Solanum lycopersicum: one gene and its partner. The protein of the gene in region 1 interacts with the protein of each later gene in a pairwise test. Links are inferred from orthologs where the notes say so. Each region holds a gene or a part of one and is shown in the gene's direction. Other genes may lie near its edges. The genes, in order: TSL-kinase interacting protein 1 and tousled-like protein.

Region 1 (4,349 bases):
AAAATGATATATAATCTAATATTTCTATATAAAAATATTAGGATAATAATTTAATGGTCGTTACATTTCTAATAAATATAAAGTCCCTAAATAAGACACTATCATGGATCATTAGATATGAGAGATAAGTTATAACAATCTCAAAATAAAATGCATAATTATTTTATCATGTTATTTAGAGATATTAATTAATTATGAGATTACTTATTCATATTAAATTACAAGGATATGACATATTATCCCATATATATTGCAAGAATATATTCCAACCTACTCAACAATTTTTTCTATCACATCTCCAATATCAAAAGATTGATATTTGTTTTATTGTATTGTTCGTTTAAATATAATATTTGGTATGATTTTGATTTAAAATTTATCATATCATATGTTATAATACGTCGAAAATGTTTAATTTGTGAATGATTGGACAGAGTCTTTCGCCTTAGGCGCGATAACTTCACTATTTATCTGTATTATCTTAGAAAAGCGTAGAAACTATTCCTTTATCCTGACTCAGCTTCTTTCTCCAATACAGGAAATCTAACAATTCCTATTCTTACTAACGCTTCGTCCAGACTAGGGAAAGGTAGGCAAGTAAGAGGCGGATCTAAGGCTTCTTCGACTTCTTATTCATAGTTGAGAATTGAGATATTCCCAATCTTCACCATGATCACGTTGTTATCCGAGTATTACCTCTGATTCATTTTATGTGATACCCTTTTCTTTTGAATCTATCCCAAAAAAAAATATTACTTTTCTAATTAGAAACAATTTAACTTTAAAATATTCTTTTACCTTTAATAAAATATTTTTCAACCACACAGTGACACAAATATTTATAGATTGTTTTAAATTACAAGTTTTAAAAAGTTTTCTTTATTTTATACACCATGCCAAGTCAAATAGGTTCCACATAAAATTAGATTGAGAAAACAGTTATTATTTAATAATTTCATTTTTATCCTTTATTTATTTTTTATAGTAACTTTATCTCATAGCAAATTTTGCTTAAATTATATATGAGCAATATTATGAAATGATCGAATACGATACAATCTATTCAAACATTATAATCATTAAAAATATCACGATGAAACAATGGAGTAGATTCAATCTATTCGTAACATTATAATCATCAAAATAATATAATATAATATGATACAATAAATTATAAAATATTTTATAAATGTATTTATTCTTCGACATGAATTTAGAATTAGTCGGACCTAATAAAAATACCGTAATCACAATTGAAGGGGAGATTTTCATGTGTAATTTTCCTCATATTGTACTTTTTTTGTTCCTCTCTTTTTCCTTTCCTTTTCAATTTCCTCTCTGACCAATTGAATCCATTCGTAATTCCAATCTACTTTCCTCTTTCCACCTGCTGCTTCCTGCCGGTGCCGACTTGCCGCTTGGATTTCCGATGGTGTTCTTCTCCGGTTGATTCACGGTAACTATCTAACTTACCGTACTCGGAAACCGACCTGAATTCCGCGATTTTTCTCTAATTTTTCTTGTTTTATTTGTTCAATATTTGGATTGAAGAGGTTTAGTTTGATTATATGTTGCTGATTACTATGGATATAGAATTATATAGTGCATTCTTCCTCAGGAAGCTTGTATGTGGTCCATAGAAATTCGAAATTGGTGATTTTAGACATTTTCTATATTCAATTTTAGTAATTGAAGCACCATATCTGGTTAGTTTTAGTACTTCAGATCTTTTTTTTGTGTTGATTTATTGTCCGTTTGATGAGCTGATGTGTTAATGATAAAATTTGCTTGATTTTTGATGGATATAATCATATAACCAAGACTACAAAGAACAATGTAATGGAAGAACCAATAAATCTAGCTATTGTAAGCATAAAAAATATTAAGTTAAACTGAATATGTTGCCAATCTTTTAGTTTTTGGACGAAAATGTATTAGGGAAGTGTGTAATTAGAGAACTATAAGCATGACATATGGATGAGAATGTCGTGGAGCTTTAGTTTTTCTTAAAACCGAGCACGAGAAAGTAATAGCTATTTGATATTCCCCTTTGAATCTCATGAATTAGGTGTGGACTATAGTAATAACTCCAAAAACCTTTTGCCTTGGATTCTCTCACTACACATCCCGTTATGACGTCTAGTGGGATTGAAAACTTGTCTATTTGAGCAATGAATTAAGACGCTTAAAGAATAGTAACTTTACAATCTTCTAACGTGGAAGGCTGAACGCAATTACTCCCTTTGTTCCATTGCGCGTGACTTTTTTTTTTTTTTTTTAAGTTTGTTCCATATAATGGTACTTTTTTATTTTTAGAAACAATTTAGTTTTGAATTTTCCATTTTATGCTTAATGACTTATAGCCAGAAAAGTGTCATCGCATCCTTGAGATGACAAGTTCCTAACAGAGGAATTAGTTATGATAAGCTCAAAGCCTTATTGATCACAGTGTCATCCAACACGTGTTCGGTGATCAACCTTAAAAGCTAGCTTATGAGGTGAGTATAAGGAGACAAACAACTCATCCCTCCATAGATGTCAATGTCTGACAATTGGCCCAACTGCATAGATGGTCGGTTCTTGTGCTGGTGGGAGGAAACAAGTAGCTGGTAGAATTTTGAGGTGCACACATGCTTAATCAGACATCGCCGTCATTAAAAGTAACATAAAAATCAAGTACCTAAAGCTTCTTAAAAGATGTAATTAAATTATATTTAAGTGAAATTAGTGAAGTAAAGATCTTGAAATTAAGTTCAAAAACCAATTTAAAATTTTGATTTTGACACAGAATTGCAGTCCAGTTTCTAATTCAATTACTATTACTAGTATTGATCGCTAAATATTTTGTCCTAAAATGTAGGAAATTCATAAATAATGTTCCCTCAACAATTAGTTTATTTTCTAATTGTGTTTGTTGTTTTCTGAACAATTGAATCGAGGCTTTGGAGGAGAATTTCCATTTAATCTTGTGAACGAAATTGGTAAAAGAGATACAAACGGAGAGGAATAATAACCATAACCAATTAATGAGAGAACAACGGAACAATCAAGAACCCGAATAGAGACTCCCCAAAATGATGGGGAAGAGAGCGGCCACTAAACAGTTTCTTTAGAAAAGCCACCTGCCCCAAAATCATGTATTAAGATAACCATTCTTTCCTTCTATATTTTATCGGTAATGAGGTGTCTCACAGTCTTTTTCAAGCGTTAGAGGGTATTGAGAAGGAAGTAGAGATCCCTTTAAAAGCCATAAGCCAGCATATCTTTCTTACATATTCAAAGATGGGCAGATGAGACCCTGTTGAGATTCATTCCTCGAATAATCTAGGAGCGAATAGGACTTATGGAATGACAACTAAATATCGTTTAAAAAGGTTACACTAGAAGTCATGATCATTTCTATCTGATCTTCTATATAACATCTACTTCTCTTCGAACATCTTGTTTTCCTTTCTTTCCACATTGTCACCCTCCTAGAATAGAGACACATGTGATGATGCATATGCTTTAGCCCTTAGCGCCTTGATACCTACACTTAGGTGCTGGCTAAGTGAAGTGTAGCGTATAACCTAAATTCATCTAGCTTCAGAACTTGAGCATGCTTAAATGAGCCTTTTACTCTATTGGTTCCTGCAATCTTTTCATGAAATGTAGGGGAATGCGGTCCCTTTGCAAATCTTGCTATGTAAATAGCAGAATCTTCTTAGGTGCTTCTAATCAACAATTCTTACTTAGAAAAAAACAAATGACATATAAGCCTCAGATATGAAGTGATCCAAAACTTCTTAGGTCTCGAGGAAAGATAATTTGGCTAGTGCTCTAGGGTCAGAAAGCAGTTAGACAAAATCAGAAGGAAGTTGGAGAAGTCAATAGCTGGAAACATCAATACCATTTGATAAAAGGGATGAAGTGGTAAGATAGTTGAAAAATGAGGCATTTGTAAGAAAGGATCATGCATATGAAGATTCAAAATAGAAGTCTTCTATAGAAATGGCTATAGAGGTTTAACCACTAAGAAGATCGTTTTGTGGGAAAAGGTTGCAAATGCAAAGTAGTCATAGAAGATCACTGGTGCACTAAAATTGTTTCTCTACTTGTAGGGTGGAGCATTGGAAAGATATTTTAAATGTTTTGGGAGCAAATTAAAAGAATTATATATGTTGAAATATGGGGATTGTCTGTAGATACAAGTTTTTCGCACCATCAATAACTTGATCTCACTGTTTGTGGGAATAGTTACTAACCCTTTCAACTGTGCTTCATGTTCTGAAGCTAACATAGCACAGTGCTAAATAACCATATTGGACATCAAATAACTGTTATGAGTGGAAGTATGACAGCTTAATTCA
Region 2 (3,831 bases), on another chromosome or scaffold:
ATTAAGAAACCAGTTAACAACATTAACTAAGAGGGTTATTTGACACCCTTTCCCTCTCCTCAACATAAGTTAAGAAGTATTAAAAGACCTTTTAGAAATTTTTTCAGATCATTTACTAGACAAGAGTAAAGTTGGAGAAAATATATACGTTTTTTTAAATCACCTATTTTGGACCAAGTTAGAAAGGCTAGAAAATCACTTACTTTGGACAGGAAAGAATAGCAATTTATCTCATAGTATGCCTCATTTTAAACTCTTAAAATTGTTCTTTATTTGAGTTACAGAAAAGCTTACTAGTCTGAATTTTATTTTGATTTCTAATCCTATATGGTAATTATAGAACATATGATGATAAACTGAATATGAATTCGGATAGAACAAATGTATAAATCGAGGATATTATTAGACACAAATGCTTATTTTATTTAAAATCAATCAACTAGAGGAGTGATTTTGACATTGGAAAACCTTAGGAAGCGAAAAGTTGTTTTTATTAGTTGGTGTTACTTATGCAAGGAGAGGGGTGAAGACGTGGATCATTTTCTCCTATATTGTAGCCTAGCCACGGTGTTATGATGGAATATTTTCAGATGGTTTAGTATTTTATGGGCAATGCCAAGATCTGTAAAGGAGCTGATGTTCAACTGGAAGAGAGGAAGAATGTCGAGAAGACACAAGGTGTGTAATGTAGCTCCACTAGCTTTGATGTGGGTTATTTGGAAGGAGAGAAACATGAGTCATTGAGGGAGTAGAGATGAGTTCTGCTCAGTTGAGGAGTATTCACCGTCCCTTGTGTTCTTTTAGTGCACCCATGTACTACCTGCTTGTATAGAAGCTCAGGTGTCTTTTTTACAGAACCATATCTTTTTGTAGGTTCTCTACTTTTTGGTATACCTCTTGTATATGGCCAATTTCAGTCTTTCATTCAATGAAACCTTATTTACTTGATCAAAATAAGATAAAATAAAACCAAACAAACATTCTAGATTTATGTTCAAAATTTTAAACTACTAAGCAAAAATCTGATTACAAATGCAAATAATTCAGAAATTATTATCTATTGAATTACAATCCCTAAATTATAATCTGTATATAACTTGTCTGTGAACCAAATGACCTGTTAGTTGATTTGTCTTTGAATAGAATTTTCAATTGCAACTGACCTTTCAGCATTGCATACTTAAATTATACAGGAGCTGAAGGATCTTAAAGATTACGAGCAGCAGACAAAGCCAAAGGTGTGCTTCATTGGTTATTTTACTTCTTTTCATTGGTCAAGTTCTGTTTCTGCCCTAGAAATAATCGGTAGTGTTTGTATATAGATTGGGAGGTTACCTTTGCGAACCGCATGACCAAATATTTGTGGCACTAACTAGCTACATTGGTGTGCTTGTCGCCAAATCAAATTTTTTTGTCAGCTCTGATTGGTACTATATTTGCTTAAGTCATATATCTTTCGAGTTATCATCATATGTCTGAATATGCTATGGAGGAATGTATCTGTTAATATGATTTACCTGATGGAGTAAACCTACAAAGTTGGTGTATTCAGCTTGACCACTTCAGCAGAACAGGCATTATTCAAACTAAAAACCAGAGTTTTCTACATTATGTAGAATTATGGAGTATCGAATAGGCTGTAGTACCAAAGCACTTTGCATATATATGGTATGCATGTACACACACACATTTCGGGCACAACCGTAGCTATTTCATTTTCCTGGCAAAATATTGTTTTCAAACTTAGCTTTGTTGTTTCTAAAATATTTCTTTTTGTTGGTCCATTTGTGGACATATTTACTATCTCATGCAAGTTGTGTGAACATCACTATTTGGCTATCCTGCCAAAATATTGCTGTCAAATTCTGCTTTAGTTAACTTACAATTTATTCTTAGCTGTGTCACATTGTGTCTGCAATAATCTCGTGTCAGCAAGCAGGTAAAAATACCAAGTTGATATAAAAAGGTTGATATTATACCTGTTTATTGGTATTCCCTCATGGAAATGGTTCATTCTTTTCATGTCTGCAGAGAACGAAAATAATGTCCGAGTTGCTAATATCTGTTTCAAAAGCTGAGAGACAAGAGGCTCGGATGAAAGTGCGCCAGGAATCATTGAGACTGGGCAATGTGGGAGTAATCAGGTACAGCATTCTTATCAAGGTGTTATTTATAGTGAGCATTTTGCTGCTTGGTCTAGTATATTAAGTAAGTTTAACAGATGAGAAGGCATCAGGAGTGTGAAAAGTAAGAAAAGGTGCAACGAGTTCCCATAATTGTGTGTTCGCAGTTTCCTCTGAGGATCTCTCTTAAGTCGGGATTTATTTACCTTTGTTATGGATAATCTAAATACTGAACATATTGTCAGCCCCAATTAACTTGGAAGTGAGGCTTTATTATTGTTCTTGTAATAATAGTATGGTGACGGATTCCATGGTGCATATTATTTCATATAGCATATTGTAATTGACACAACAAGAGAGTCAATCTATCTTCTGGACTCTGGATAAGCACTCTAGATAGTGAGGTTTCAGGATAAGTAGAAGTAACACAAGATATTGCACTGAATGTAGCTTCCATGAAGAGGAATAATGGTGAAGTGCATTTGCTGGGATTGTGATGTCTAAATGCAAAAGATTTAGATGCCTCAGATCAGTCTTGCAGTAAAATGGCATAATAGATTCAAGTGTACTAGATAGAAACACAGTTGGATGAATACTTTTTTGAGGAGATAAAACAAGGGAATCAAAGTAACATGGCTTAAATAGAAGTTTAATACACGAGTGATATCCAAAATGGGGTTAATGTTGGTCCCTAAGGTCCAACATAGATGAAAGTGTAAAATGTGAATGTTAAAATGGATGTACAAGATTTGAGGAATAATGGTGAAGTGAAATTTGATGGAATTGTGATGTCTAAATGCAAAAATTTTAGATACCTCAGTTCAGTCTTGCAAGAAAATGGCATAATAGATGCCAATGTACATAGAAACAAAAAAGGATGATTACTTATCAAAAGAATTCTGGTGTCTTATGTGATAGAAAGGTGACACTAAGGTAAGTTCTACAGAGCAGTAGTTAGACCAGCTTCGTTGTGCGGGGTGGAGTGTTGGTTAGTCAAGAACTCTCATGTCCAAAAGATGGAAGTTGCGGAAATGAGTATGCTAAGATAGATGTGTAGGGGCTTACTAGCAGAGATATAGCCAGAAATGAAGATATTCAGGTTAAGGTGGAAGTGGCCTCCATATGTCAAGAGGAGATGCATAGACGCCCCAGTGAGGATGTGTGAGAGGTCGACGTTGGAGGGTCTCAGGAGAGGTAGGGTAGGCTAAATAAATATTGGGGAGAGGTGATTAGGCAGAACATGACAAGCCTTAAGCTTACCGTGGACATGAGTCTTAATAGGAGAGTAATTGATTAATTGCTGGGATTTTGTTGGTGATAACTATGTAACAAGTATACTAATAGAACTCTAGATTATTAATAGGCCGTATGCCCATCCTCTAAGTATCAATTTATTTTTCGTGTTATCAAATATCATGATTTGAACCTATTTATTTTTGTGACTGCTGATCTTTTTCTGTTCTTTGGTTAATTGCAGAGCTGGAACCATTATATCTGAGGCCTGGGAAGATGGGCAAGCACTAAAGGACCTGAATGCTCAACTTGTATGTTCCGTATTTTGGTGGTCTGGCAAGGGACTGCTTGTTTTGCAGTTTCATTTTATGGATATATTAATATATCCATGCTGACAACTAACAGTCACTGCCTGTCCATTTAGCTTTTAAAGTACAATAGAACTTCAGCTTATGTCCTAACAACCATGCCCACA

The links.
Region 2: the proteins of TSL-kinase interacting protein 1 (region 1) and tousled-like protein interact in binary tests that used the Arabidopsis thaliana proteins (3 or more experiments, as listed by UniProt). The link is inferred for Solanum lycopersicum from reciprocal best matches to the Arabidopsis thaliana genes TKI1 and TSL.

Annotation. Positions count from the first base shown.
Region 1 is NC_090808.1:2,069,967-2,074,315, reverse strand, and holds the start of TSL-kinase interacting protein 1, read left to right. Parts: upstream 1-1,266; 5' UTR 1,267-1,456; intron 1,457-4,349.
Region 2 is NC_090810.1:60,536,740-60,540,570, reverse strand, and holds part of tousled-like protein, read left to right. Parts: intron 1-1,193; coding exon 1,194-1,238; intron 1,239-2,031; coding exon 2,032-2,144; intron 2,145-3,600; coding exon 3,601-3,667; intron 3,668-3,831. UniProt on the Arabidopsis thaliana protein: Required for correct initiation of floral organ primordia and for proper development of organ primordia. Phosphorylates in vitro ASF1B/SGA1, the C-terminal part of TKI1 and histone H3.